2 linked regions of the Tamandua tetradactyla genome follow. The protein of the gene in region 1 purifies or fractionates together with the protein of each later gene. This does not show direct contact. Links are inferred from orthologs where the notes say so. Each region holds a gene or a part of one and is shown in the gene's direction. Other genes may lie near its edges.

Region 1 (7,622 bases):
ATGGAAGTCTGCAAAAATGTTAGTTACAAGCAAAACTGTGTTTTGCATTTGGCTGTTCTGCCATTAGTGACATTAACACAAGCAAAGTGGAGTAAAATGGGGGCAGAAGCCTAATTTTAGTAGTTGAAGAGGGCCTTGGAAGGAAGTGGCAATTTAAGCACAGAAAATTCTTATAAATACAAGGGAACAAATTCAGTAGAGCAGGAGAGATTATTGACTGGAGATGGAATGATGAAGTGTTAACAAGACAAAAAAAAAAAAAGGCCTAATTTCCCGGTGCCTGCCCATGCCAAAAAAGAAAAAAAATATTGCCTTAGAAAGGAAGAAGGCAGGAGGTAAGGAGGTGTCCAGATTTAGATAGATCTGTAGGGGTAAGGGTGGAGGTGTAAAGCTGTGAAGTGTGTAATGGTAAATAATGATATCGATAATATTCACATTCATCTTCACACATATACAGTCCATCCAAAGTATCAATGGCCCATAACATTACCACATAGTTGTCCATTTTTAGAACACTTGTACCACTGCAAGAAAAGAAATAAGGAAAAAGAAAAAGCCCATACATCCCATATCCCACACTCATCCCTCCCATTGACCATCAGTATTGCAATTAACCCCAATTTTTTTTACCCCGCATTCCCCCTCTATTATTTATTTCCTATACTTATTTTTTTACTCATCCGCCCCTACACTGGATAAAGTGAGTGCCAGTCACCAGGTTTCACAATTGTAAAAACTATATATAGTTACACACAGTAAAAACTATATATCGTCTTCAAGAATCAAGGTTACTGGAACATAGCGCAACAGTTTCAGGTACTTCCCTCTAGTCGCTCCAATGTAACATAAACCAAAAAGATTATCTACATAATGCATAAGAACAACCTCCAGGAAAACCTCTTGATTCTTTAGTTTGAAACTTCTCAGCTACTCAAACTTTGTCTCATTTTTCTCTTCCCCTTTTAAGTCAAGAAGGCCCTCTCAATCCCATGATGCCAGGTTCCAGCTTATCCTTGGGAGTCAAGTCCCACGCTGCCAAGAAGATTCACACCTCTGGGAGACATGCCCCAGGTAGGGGGGAGCACAGAGAGTTCACCTGCCATGTTGGTTTACAGAGACAGCAAGCATTAACATTTAGTGCATAATTACCATGTGCCAGGTACTCTTCTACATGGAACTAATTTTGCTTCAAAAACATTAGTTAAATATAGGGAGCGAATCAGATAATGAAAGCTTAGTTTCTTTCAATAGTTGGGAATTGAACATTTTGATGTAGCCTAAAAACAAGTGTTATTACCAAGTAACGTATGCAACAGTGACTTTACCCCACCATATCTGACCCTCTTTTCATCCAGGCACTCAGCTTAATCCTGATCCAGGGGCATGCTGAGTAATAGTGTTTTTACATTTTTTTTTTATTATTACATGGGCAGGCACCAGGAAACGAACCTGGGTCCTCTGGCATGGCAGGCAAACATTCTTGCCTGCTGAGCCACTGTGGCCTGCCCATGTTTTTACACTTTAATTAATCTGTTGTAACTCCCATTAATAAGAAAGCTAAAGAACCAAAATAGCCCTATGAAAATTTTAACATCACCGGTGTAGTAGGTTGAACAGTGTCCCCTAAATCCAAGCCTAACCAGAATCTCAGAATATGACCTTATTTGGAAATAAGGTCTTTGCAGACATAATTTGTTAAGCATCTTGAGATAAAATCTTACCAAATCTAATAACTGGTGTCTTTAAAAGACGAGAAGAGCACACAGATAGATACAGAGATGATGACGATATAAAGATGGAGGTAAAACCTGAGGGATGCGTCTACAAGTCAAAGAATACCAAGGCAACCATCAGAAGCTAGAAAAGTATGGGATCGTTTCTTCCTTGGAGCCTCCAGAAGAAACCAACCCAGCCAATACCCAAGTTTTGGACTTCTAGCCTTCTGAACTGTAGAAGTATAAATTTGTTGTTTTAAACCACCCAGGATGTAGTAATTTTCTATCGCTGCCCTAGGCAACTAATACAACCAGAAATTTACAGCAAGATGATTAAAAAAAAATGTATTAGTGAATTCTCTCATGATCATTAAAGAACTGAATTACTCTGATAAACTGTCCACAGTTTTACTGTGGCCAGGTATGACTTCCCCTTGAACTGTGAGCTCTTAAGGACAGGGATAGGGATTATTGATCTTTTATTCTTTCTCAAGGCCTGGCACAGTATTTTGTAAATAGTACAAGCTCAAAGTTTGTTTAAGGAATTAACGCATTATGCTGAAAAAAATTAAATTACACTTTCACTTTACACCTGAAATGAGAAAATCATTAGAAATGACTGGATCTCATTTTAACTAAAATAGTCTAAAAAATTTACTGCTCACTTACTAGATACCAAGTAATTTTTTTGGGAAGACACACCTGAAGAAAAACATGGGTCTAAATGGGAGACAATTAATGAACTAAAAGGTTTAGGCTATGAGTCTCCCAGGTGCTAATTCACACACAAGAATACATATTTAACATTAATGAACTAAAATGGCTATGAGTAATTTCCGAGATTCCAAAGAGGCCCTACTAACATCAAAATATCTTAATAAATAACTGGATAGTCATTTAGACATCTAACTAAGAGTAGATTTATTTCCCTCAAGTCTAACCTTTTTGGAACTCAGGGATTTCAGACACATTTTGATACATCAAGTTTTAAAACATTCATTTATTCAAGTTCTACTTAAGAGAAAGTAGAATAGCTAAAAAGTGTCTTCACATGTTATAGTGGTAACATTTTGCTTTTAGTTCTAACAAGAAAGTCTTTAATGATTTTCATTCCTCTTGGCTTATGTATCAAAATAAAGATAAATATAAACCTTTAAAAGATTATTTCCCTCCATAAAATACAACTGCAAGTAGTTTCCAAATGAAGCTCTGTAACTGGAGTGAATGAAAATAGAAGTAGCAACTGAATAAGGACCCAAGTTAAAACATCATAAAATCGGACATGGCTTTCAATTCTGGAATAATCTAAATGTCTTCAGCTTATTTCTAATAGCTGGTTAAATATTCTATAGTTGGGAGAGGGGTTCTATTAATTATTCCTGCCTATATTAAAAAAAGGATACTCTAATAATATTACTTACAAAACTATACTGCTATATATGATTGTATCCATAAAAATTTGAATATTGCTTGAATGGAGCAACACACAATATTCTTTTTACTGGCTTTCCTTAATTTTCCAAATATTTTATTCTAACGTGCCTTTTTCCCTTTATTATAGTAGTTGTGGGTTTAAGAACAATCATGCATAAAATATAGGATTCCCACATATCACCTTATTATTAACACCTTGCATTTGTTGTGGAACCTTTGTTACAATTGATGATGGCACGTTTTGATAATTGTACTATTAACTTTAGCCCATGGTTTAACTTTGGGTTTCCTGTTTGTGTGGTATAGTTTCATGGATTTAAAAAAATTTTTATTATTTGTATACCTGCATTCTAACATTTCCCGTTTTAGCCACATTCAGATCTATATTTCTCTACTGCTAATTATATGCACAATGTTATGCTACCATCAAATAGGAACACTGTTTAAAGAGTTTGTTGGCAAAGTTGAAAACCTGTAGGAGTATTAATTGTTCATGATATCATTACAGCTTTGTTATCAAGTATTACAAAGCCATAAATAATCTCTTTAAAATAAGACGAGGACCCTGATGCCAAATATGATTTCAATTTGCATGGCTTTAAATAGGTTCAGTTGTCAGTAGGATCAAAATTAACCTCAACACAGCAACTGGAGTCAACCAAGACGCCACATCTCTTCAGAGACAACCTACATGTATCAGTACTGCAGTTAACTGACTTTTACCTTTTCTTCTTTTGTAAACTAGTGACACATCCTGTAATAAGCAAGAGGACTAAGCAGATGACCTTGGCCTCTGAAAGCTGGCCCACACTCTCGGGCTACATTCGCAGTGTTTACATGGGCGGCTTCAGGTAGAAAGAGGATGGGATCAAAGATCTAGCAGGGAAGGAGGTTTCTATCCCGCCTCGGGGCTGGGGGCTATCAGTGCCATCTCTGCTGCCTTTTGGAGACGACTCGTTCCAGACAAAACAGGGGCGACCAAGTCCCAGCACGTTTCTCGGGTGGGTGGACAAGGGGGCTCTCCAACCCTCCTAAAGACTAAGGAGGTTTCCGGAAAGTATCTCCTCCGCTTTCTGTTGCATCGCTGACAGCCCGGCTCGGTGGCAGAATTGCTTCTCCGGCCTAGTTCCAAGATGGCGACGGAACATCGAGAGGTTCAGCGTAGCCGCGGGATACCTCCTCTTCCCAGCGATCCCTGCGCCGGCGGCGATTGCACTGAGGTGTGTGTGTGTGTATGTGTGTGTGTGTGTATGTGTGTGTGTGTGTGTGTGTGTGTGCGCGCGGCGGACGGCGGCAACCGGAGCGGGCTAGGAAAGACGGTGGGGTTGGGAGAGGCTGCGGCGCGGAGCCCTCCCGCCTGCGTCCCGGCCCCGCCCCGCGTCCCCGCGTCCCCGACCGGAGCCTTCTCCAGGCCGCGGCGCGCGCAGCCTGCCGGGATACTCAGCCCGCCCATCCAGTCCTCCCGGCTTGCGCTGCGGCCGCGAGTTCTGTGTTTCTCCCAAGATGGTGGCGCTGGGCTCGGGGTGACTGCAGGAAACGACAGGGCACCGATAACCCGCCCTCCGCTCGCTCGCGCACCCCGCCGCCACGTAGCCAGCCACCGGCCCGGCGCCCGACAGCTGCCGCCGCTGCCGCCTTCTGCTTCGCCTCCGCCGATCCGGTTCTTTCGGCCGCGGGCGGCGGCGCCTCCTTCGGCTTCTCCTCCCGGCGGTCTCTGAGCGGCTCGCGGCCTATCCCCGGCCAGTCAGGCCCGCAGCCCCCCCGGTGTGGACAGGCAGCGGTAGAGCAACAGCTGGCGACGAGCGTGGGGTCCTCGGCGTCCCTAGCCACTTTGCCGGCCTCGGCCTCCAAAGAAGGAAGCGCGGGTCCCGCATGAGCCCCGGCGGTGGCGGCGGCAGCGAAGGGGAACGAGGCGGTGGCGGGCGGAGGCGGCGGGCGGAGACGGCGGGAGAGGGCGACGACGACCAGTGAGTCGGCTGCCGCTACGAGGTCCGCGGCCCAAGCGCGGGAGCGACGGCAGGTCAGTGTCTTGTCAGAGGCCTAGCGGGTGGGCCAGGCGGAGTGGGGCGCGGCCTTCTTTCCTCTGTCCTCTCGGGCTGAACCCTCCACCTCTCGCCAGGGTGAGTATTTGGGGGCGCGTAGTCTCGGGGGGCCGGTGCAAGAATTAGGCCCCTTCTGGCAGAGCTTGCTGCCTCTGTAACTGTCAGTCCTGATTGCGCGGAAGGGAGGGTTTTGTTGCCTGAGGGTACAGGAGCGAGCCTGGGGTGGGGCGTCCAGGACTGCAAGAGCAGGCCTGGCTCGCTGAAAGGCCGGCTGAGCCAGGGTCCAGGTCAGGAAAGAGCTGTCCTTTCCCTGCCAAGGGAAGCGCTCTCGATGTTTTCGAGGTCTTGGACTCTCTTGGTGAAGAAATCTTCAGGCGTATGCTTGGTGAATTGGGGTTTGGGGAGGTGGACTGATGGGAAGGGAAGACGACGGAGGAACTGGCGTGTCAAGCCTCAGGGTTGCGTTCACAGACTGTTCAAGTGTTCCTCGTTGCCAAGATTCTAAAGTTGAATGCGAGTTAGTGGGTTTGCCAGAGAATGTATTAAATGCAGACCTGCAAATAATTGCTCCCCACCCCCTTTTTTCTTTTTCCTTTTAATTGAGAGAATGGGAAGGGAACTTTGCTCATTTTGGTGTGCAGGTTTTGATTGGAAAAGCCAAAATCGAATACGACAAATGCTTTAGGCCATTAGGGTTTTAAAAATAGATGTAGTACAGACATTGTTTGGTTAAGTTTAGCGTCCTAGAAAGATAATTTAGTCTCTAAATTTTTAAAAACTTCTTATGGGTGTGCTAAAATAGAGACAATACAGAATCTGATTAGAATTCTAATTAAGTGGCTAAAATGCTGTTAATAAAGTAAACTAATAGCAGATGGGATTTATTGTCCAAAGTTAACCCTCGGTGATGATGAAATATGAATTTAACCAATAATTTTACATCATTCCATTTCCTGCAGTATTTGAGAGAAGCAACTAATTATCCAGACATTTTGGGGGTGGGGAGAAGGAAGGTGAACTAGAAATGACCTAAAGTTTAAGAAGTACAAGCATTAAAATGTTACATGTTAAACACACCGCAGGTGCACAATAAATTTTGTTGAATTGACTGGACAAGTGGAATGAGAAGTGTTCTCACACCTCTGACTAGTAAGTACCCTTACTTAAATTATTTTCAAGCCATGAAATAAAATCTACAACTCAGGAGAAAAGAAGAGAAGTTTTGTCATATGCATGAGAGAGCTTTGGAATTAGACCCCGACTCTTAAGTCTAAGGTATATATAGCATTTTTAATGAGATGAATGCAATATTAATGATGCTTTTGAAGAGTCCTAAGGCTGACAAGAAGTGCTTTAAATAAACACTATTAAGCATTACAAAAAAGTAAAAACTTAAATGAATAACTCATTTACAAAATTAAAATGTAAACTACGGAAGTCTTACTGTGTCACTATTTATTAACTGTTGTGAGTGGTAGTATGTACGTCATTTTCTGGACATTGTCCCATCCCTGAGGAATCTGCCTATAATTTATAAAAATAAAAATATAGTGCTTTTATGTCTTTTCAGATATTATGTAAGGTGTTTTTATTTTATCTTTCTTATATTGAAACTTTTTCATGGCTTAAAATTAATTTCTTAAGTACGGGTACTTACTAGTCAGAGGTTTGAGAACACTTCTCATCCCACTTGCCCAGTCCCTTCAACAAAATTTATTGTGTACCTGCAGTGTGTTTGACATATAACATATTAACACATTGTCATCCCACTTCCCCAGTATACTTACTAAGATTTATTGGGTGCCTAAAATGTCTGTGACCTGTGAGATTTTAATAGCTAAGATTTCTGAAACTTGAGGTTATTTCTATTTTAATACCCTTCTCACTTTCCTTTGAAAAAATCCGAAATAATTTGCTGTTTTCAATATTGCAAGCAGTGAAATGTTTCAAAACTGTCTGTAAACTTTTCAATCCAAGTTGAAATGATGTATCCAAATGTTTCTTAAGTCCTTACTGGTTATGTTCCCCATGCACTCTTATATATAGACCTATAATAAACATTATATTAAATGCATATGCAGTTTTTAAAAAATCAGCTTTCTAATTCATAGTGAAGCTAAATTTTCCAAAGTAGCTTTTTAAATAAACTACTTGAATAAAGGTTGGACAATTTGATGGTTCAGGAAACAGAGTTTTGGTTGGTTTTGATAATTTTCACCCCACTCCAACTGTGAAGATAAAATATAATCAGAGCTCTCATAGTATCTGTAATGGAAATTAGACCCTGTTTTTAATTGTGGCCTTATTCCAGCAATCTCACGATTGGCAAGTCATTTAATCTTGGTGAGCCTCAGTTTTGTCATCTGTAAAATGGGATGGCTAAAGCTACCTCAGGGTTTTTTTGAGGATTAAGGTATATGAAATGCGTAAA
Region 2 (7,290 bases), on another chromosome or scaffold:
ACCAAAAACCCTTGGACTGGAATCTCTCTCAGCATTCAGTCTTTTCCCTGGAGCATCACCAGTGCACTCCTACCAATTTCCTCAACTCTTTGGGTTATCTTCATGCACACTGAGGATAAGCGATGCTGTTCTGAAAAAGTTTGAAGTTTAATGCACATTTCTATTCAAACATTTATCATCTAATAAAAAGTTCTCATATAGCACTTACAGGTCTCAAAGTTGCAGGTTAAATATAAAAGAACTACATACATCTCAATTATGTGCCTGGTTCACAGCAGGCACTCAAATATTTGCTGAATGAATAAAAGAATCTGATGATCACTTTGAGAGGGCGAAAGTTCCCAAAGACTACATTTTCTACATACTCATCACCAAAAACAGACCAAACCAAATCAAACCAAACACATACTAAAACTCAAAATACCCTCTATTAGTAAGATCAAAATGAAAAAAGAAAACTGTGCTGCTGAAAATAAACATATCAGAGATGTAAGAAAAGTATACTTTTCTAGACACTGTAACCCTAAAATAATAATATAAATGTATAAAGTATAAAGACAAAGGGGATATAGCCACTGACATCATTCAACTGAAGGGTGTGCAAATATTTACTGCAACATTTTGTATGTGCTATCATGGAAGGCATATGTGTCTTTGCAATTTCTGCACCAAGCACAGGGCCTGGAACATAGTTATGCGATCATAAATGAGTGAATGTAGATATACATGAATGAATACATATATGGTATGGAAGAGAAGGAAGTATGAACTGTGACGCACTCTGGAGACAAGGCAGTGTTTTCACAAAGCAAGGACCATGTGATTTGAGTCTAGCAAGGTAAGACTCAATCTGTATTTCAGGCAAAAGGAAGATCATGCACAAAGGGGAAGAAAAATAAAAGCAGCTTAGTTTAGTTATCTAGAGGGTAGGTGCAAGAGATGAGACAGAAAATATAGTTGGCATCCCATTATGAAGAATTTTGGGCATTATCACATAGGCACTAATGGCAGTTACACAATCCTGAAGCGTAGAATGAATAGATCTGTGTTTCAGAAGGGCTATTTTGGCAAAAATGTGGATGAATTAGAGGGTAGTAAGACTAGAGAAGGGAAGCTTAGTTTAAGGGGTCGCTGCGTAGTTAAGGCAAGAGATAATCAAGGCAGGATTTAAAGCACCGTAAATATCACTACCTAGAAATTTATCCAGAGCCTTTGGTATCTATAGACTATCTTTCACAAACTAAAAGCCTAAAGAAGCCTGAGAACCTAGACTGGGAGTCTTACGTCATAATCGTTCAGCGCTAATCCCAGAAATAGCCCATCACTTCCAGGATGGGAGAGACTGCCACTTCCTCACCTATATCAACTGTACTGACTTATCCTTAGAAAAGATCATTGTTGAGAGAGTGTCTCCATGTTTTGGAAGCTGAAGACATCAAACAAGCTCTTTTGTTTTCTGAAGGCAATGACTGATAGTGAAGAGAACCAATGAATTCTGCACAGTCTTCTAGCGTCTGCATAACCCATCCAGCAGTCTGTATGAGGTCTCTTTTCACAGAGAACGTTACCTGGAGCTTCACACTGGATAATCACACTGGCCTGACTCCAGACATGTAGGCATTGTAAATACAGCAGTGCGAATTTATTTATTTAAGAGAAGCCATACCGAGCCCGAAGTCTCAGGATTATGAGAATCCTAAAAAGGCCCCAAGCAGAACTTCACGATAAAACCAGCATGGGAGCAAAACCAGCAGGCCCAGGCCAGAGTTAATCCACCGTCCACTGCCGAAGAGAAGAGGCATGACAGAAAAGGACAGGAAAGATTATGGGTTTCCGACACACCTGGCTGTCCTCCGCTCTGGGCCCCTCTAAACGCTCAGCACCCAACATTTGCGCGGCGGGAAGCGGCCTTGCGAACCACAGCCGTGCAGCGACCCGGCTGGGGGCAGCGGCCGAGGCAGGCGGGCAGCGGGGACCGGCCGGCCGGTGGGCGGCACGGGCCGGGAGGAACGTCCGGCAGCCCGCGGAGCCTTGCGCGCCCAGCTCCGCGTCCCCTCCCCCTTCATCGGCCCGAGGACCTCGATGCACGAATCGCCATCCTTCCGCACACACAGCCCTCCCGAGAACAGAGAGAGTCAAAGAGGCCGTTACCTGGAGTCTCTGAGGTAACCGCCACTGGCCCACACAAACCAGATTGGGCACCCGCCACCGCGACCCTTCCCGACCCTATTAAACACCGGCGCGCGCTGGATGACGTCACTTCCGCCAGTGCCCCCTCGGCTTCAGCGAGCTAACCATGCTCGAGTGACGGCCATGGGAAGTGTGGGCACATGTCGCTTCCCTATTCCTTGAGCGCTCGGTTTACGGGAAATTAGGGTGGGAGCTCTTCGGAGAGTTCTGGGGCGGGGCCGCTTTGCCATAATACTTCCTAATTGGTCGGTGATGGATGCAGGAAAGCAATATATGCTTAAAAAAAAAAAAGAAAAAATATATATTTAAACCAAGTAGTTTTGTAACCTTTGGCAGTTGACATCTGTGCCTGGGTTTCTTCGTCTTTAAAATGGGATGATACTATTTACCCTGCAGAGATGTTGTGAGATTCAGTTAATAGATGAACAGTGCCTGGCACATGGTAAGCATTCATTGAAGGTTACCTAATTCTTCTTAAAAATATATAATGATAAGTAAAACAAAAAGATAGCCTTAATAAAGAGATTCAATTGTATTTATAATTCTGCTAGTAACATCATGATGGTTGATCTCAGTTGTCAACTTGGCTAGGTTATGGTGGTGTTTGGTCAAGCGAGCACTGGTCTTATTGTTTCTGTGGGGGTCTTTTGAGATGGATTTAAGTCATTGATCAGTTCATTGCATCTACTGTTGATTGCATCTATAATGTAAAAAAGATATTGCCTTCAGCAATGAGAGGATTCTTCTTATCCAACCAGTTGGAGGCCTTAAAGAAAGAACTGAGGATTTCAGCAGTCAGAAAGAATTTCTGTCTCTACTTCAGCCAGTCAGCTTCTCCTGGGGCATTCAATGACATCATCACAGAGTTTCCAATTTGCTGCCTGCCCTATGGAATTCAGTTTTGTCGATCCCCAAGTTTCTGTGAGCCAATTCCTATAAGTCTCTTAATATTTACATATATATATATATATATATGTATCTGCCAGTTCAGTTTCTCTCAGAGAACCCTATCTAATCCAACCATTTTCGGCAATCTTAGTTGTTTCTTAGTTCGTTTACTTCTGTATGTTTGATTAGAACCCAGCACACCTTGATTTCTCGCTTCTAGTTTTTTAAAAATGAATAATCATATATTGTACTGCTTTGTTTTTTATTTGCTCTTTATTTTTTCTGTTTTATCAGTGAGGTGGTCAGCAACTTAAGGATCGGAAGTGTTATCTATGCTTTTTGTATCGCGTACTATATCTGGCACCTTGTTAGCCTATGGAGAGAACTGAATAAGTACAATACCTCTTTCTGCATAACATCAAAGAAAATCCTTTGTTTATTTATGGGAAATATGGAAAATATTTCAACATTTAATTAAACAAGTACTTTCAAAAACATTTTCTGATCCCAGATTTTCTGTATATATCGTGTAGTCCACCTTGTCTTGCCAGGAACCTGCAGAATAGAGTCTGCTTAAATTCGATGGACCCTTAAGATTGAAAAATGAAGCAGGCCAGTTGATAAGCAACAAGGTAACAGTTCACTGGAACTCAAAGCCTAGGAGGCTGGTCCTGGGCGGGTGCAGGGCATTCGGAGCAGCACTGCGCATTGCTTGGCGGGTTACAGCGTCTACGCAGGCCAAGGAAGGTATGGAGCAAGGTTGGGATTTGCAGATGGTAAGCATGTCTTTTGGTTTTACGTTACGTGTTTTATGGCTAGAGTATATACCTAGGATTGGAACTTTTGGCCCACAAGGTATGCGTATCTTCAATTATGCTAGACGCTAATCTGTTAATTGGCTATTCCAATTTACATTCCCACCAATAGCGTTTTCCAGTTTCCGTTTCTCCTCATTTTTGCTAATATTTTATATGGTCAGACTTTTAAATCTTTGGCCATTCGGAGGGAATTCGAATTTTTCCGTAAGAAAAAAACCCACAAGCCCTTTACATTTTTGTCTGCTTTTTTTGGACTAGGGAGCGCCGAGGTACCGACACATCCTGGCAGCGCCGGTGACCTCCAGGAGCACCGAGGAGTGCATGATAGAGCGGCTTGGAGGTGGGCGCCGAGGAGCAGCCGGAACTGACGTGTTCACTTCCGGAAGTGAAGTGAAGTCACTTCCGGCTGGAGCCGCCATCTTGCTGTGAGACAGCAGGTGTCGGAGCCGGAGCTGCATCTGGGGCTGAGCTATGTTATCTTCAGCAGCTATGCACTGTGGTCTTGACCGAGAGCTGGGGATGGAGCCATACAGAACCGCGGGTCCCTCCCAGTTTCGCTTTTCACCCTACGCCTTCAATGGAGGGTAAAATCCATCGAGAGCCGCCGCTTTTACTTTCGCCCTTGTCCACTCTGCAGACGCTTATTTGGGGTCGCCGGCGGGAAAGGCCCTGCCCTGTCTCACCCTTCAGGCCTTCAGGACCCTTAGCTGTGTGCGTTCACGCAGCGGCACAACCCCTTCCCTTTTCTCCTTTTCCCTGTGTTTCTCTGTTCATGCCTGGCTTGCTCGGTTTCGCATTGCGGTTTTCAGGGTTTCTTCTTACAGTTTAGTCGTTTGGGTCTTTATGTGGACGACTAGTTTACGGTATAGCTTGCTTCTTGCCGGAACGAGGCAGTAAATAGAAAGGGAAACATCTGCTGTGTGGAAGACCCTGTCGTGTTTGAACACATTTCCCATGTCAGCAGGTTAGGACAGGTTCAGGATTTGAAATAAAAACGTTATAATTGAACCACGTTGGTAGAGGCTAGTTTTGTTGCAGCTGAAACGTAGTCAAAAGCTTAATCATTTTCTCATAAGTTGAAGCTGGCCAGACTTAATAGATTATTCATTTTTTTTCTTTTTTAGAAAGCTTAGCTTAAGTCCAGAAAAAAATGCTCAGAAGGGGTCCCTTTTGATATGTGTATTTTTTCATGTTTTTTGGTAACAAGCTTTTTTTTTTTAAGGTAATACTTTCCCCTGGTAGTGTACCAGAAGAATCAGTTAGGACTCTGACAGTGAAGAGCTATAAATAGAAGCGGTGGTTATACTTTATCAGTCAGACTTTGTAGAAAAAATTGCGTACAATTCGAACAGATAGTTCAGAAAGACCAAAAACATTGATTAGGTCCTTATGAATTTGAAATGTGGATGCAGATTGTTGGAAAGCAAGAGTATGTTGGAAACCAAGAGTTAAAGGCTGCGATTTTAGACCTAGTTTTGCCACCAAAGGGCTGTGCAGTTATGGGATACCTCTCTCAACCTCTTGAGCCCCAATTTTTTTCATCTACCTTAGTTCTTAAATTTTGGGGGAGAATCAAATGAGAAGCATTTTATAAATGGCAAGGAGTTATGTTACTTTAGTTCCCCTAGTGGCTGAATATTAGATGATATTGGCCTCTTTTTTTAACAAATGAACCTGAGGCTCTTAGAAATTAAATTGTCCCTGGCTACAACAGCATACAGAACTGGGGTGAAGTTGAGCCAACACTTGAATTCATCTCTTTCACCCAACAGTTTTTGTGGGCTCCTTCTCAGCACTTCCTGTGATAACTAATTTCGTTGTTATATTATTGTAAGGTGGATTAGACCCATTTCATAAGGTAGCTGTAAATTCTTTATAAGAAGAATTTTCAAGGCATTCAGTGTTCAGTACTTGTCACTCATTCTTAACCCATTGTAATCTAATTTATGCCATTACTGCCTTAAAAGTTACTCAAGACTTTGTTATATTCTTACCTTTTCTCAAACTTTGTTATATTGTTACCTTTTCTCAAACTTTGTTCTTTTTCTTTACTGTTCATTGCTGTTGGCTCTTAAAACTCTACTTTTTGCTTCTACAGCATAAGGCTTAGTTTTGTACATCTTTCTACTCTTAACTCTTTATTTTATTTTTTTAAATTTAGTACCAAATAAACATTTTTTGCTTTAGTCTCACACGTAAGGTAAAATTTTAAAATATTAATTATGATCTGTTTTCGGCACTCTGCACTAATGACATTCCTTTGTTCTTCCTCATGCAAAAACGTTCTTTAAATTTGTGCATTTAGTCACCATCACTATACACTTTAGGTGTTCCTAGATTATACCATCTCAATCTTTAACGTCTTATCTTTCTTTCTGATTTCGTTTGTGCCCCCAGCTCTCCTCCCTCTGTCATTCTCACATTCAGCCTCATTCAATGTTCCAACATCATTGTATTACATTTAGGTAGTATTGTGTTGTCCATTTCTGAGTTTTTACATTCAGTCCCGTTGCACAATCTGTATCCTTTCAGCACCAATTACCCAACATCTTACCCTATTTCTATCTCCTGATGGTCTCTGTTACCAATGAAATTCTCCAAGTTTATTCACAAATGTCAGTGAGACCATACACTATTTGTCGTTTTGTTTCTGGCTAATCTCACTCAGCATGATGTCCTTAAGGTCCATCCATGTTGTTACATACTTCATAAATTTATTCTGTCTTACGGCTGCATAATATTACATCGTATGTATATACCACGGTTTGTTTAGCCACTCGTATGTTGATGGACATTTTGGCTGTTTTCATCTCTTTGCAATTGTAACTAACGCTGCTATAAACATTGGTGTGCAAATATCAAGTTTGTGTCTTTGCCCTCATGTCCTCTGTCTACTCTTAACTCTTTAAATGTAGTCAACCCCAAGTTATTAACCTCTGTGTTTTTCACCCAGCACTCTCACATATCTCAGTCTGGCTCGCATCATCATCCCCAGAAGGATAATTCCAAATCTATTTCTCTGCCTCTGCCTCTCATGAGTCCCTCAGTTCTGATTTTTTATAGTATATTTCTACAAAAAGAAAAAAGCTAATTATTTCTCTTAATCAGCTCTCCTTATTTATAATCTTTATAATGCCGTTGTGTTCATCCAAGTTTAAAATCTTGTATGTCGTAATTGGCTCTTCAGAAAAACTTGTTCATTTCATTTTAAATGTATTCTGGATTTACCTGTTTCTTTCTATTCGCCTTGCTGCGTTCCTATTTCATTAGTCTTATTAGAGCAGCTCCCCTTCCCATTTTATATGAATGTAAAATATGTTGTAGTAATCTTTATCTGGACCTCTAGCTTAAGTTTTGTTTAACAGAGGAGAATTTTTAGCTCTTGTTTTATTTT

The links.
Region 2: the proteins of UBE3A (region 1) and PSMB1 purify together in Homo sapiens (affinity purification with mass spectrometry, with the first as the bait; 3 studies listed by BioGRID). This does not show direct contact. The link is inferred for Tamandua tetradactyla from reciprocal best matches to the Homo sapiens genes UBE3A and PSMB1.

Annotation. Positions count from the first base shown.
Region 1 is NC_135338.1:78,190,452-78,198,073, forward strand, and holds the start of UBE3A (ubiquitin-protein ligase E3A), read left to right. Parts: upstream 1-4,601; 5' UTR 4,602-5,169; intron 5,170-5,435; exon of another isoform or gene 5,436-6,273; 5' UTR 6,274-6,340; intron 6,341-7,622. UniProt on the Homo sapiens protein: E3 ubiquitin-protein ligase which accepts ubiquitin from an E2 ubiquitin-conjugating enzyme in the form of a thioester and transfers it to its substrates.
Region 2 is NC_135330.1:84,881,539-84,888,828, reverse strand, and holds the start of PSMB1 (proteasome subunit beta type-1), read left to right. Parts: upstream 1-4,275; 5' UTR 4,276-4,367; coding exon 4,368-4,480; intron 4,481-7,290. UniProt on the Homo sapiens protein: Non-catalytic component of the 20S core proteasome complex involved in the proteolytic degradation of most intracellular proteins. This complex plays numerous essential roles within the cell by associating with different regulatory particles.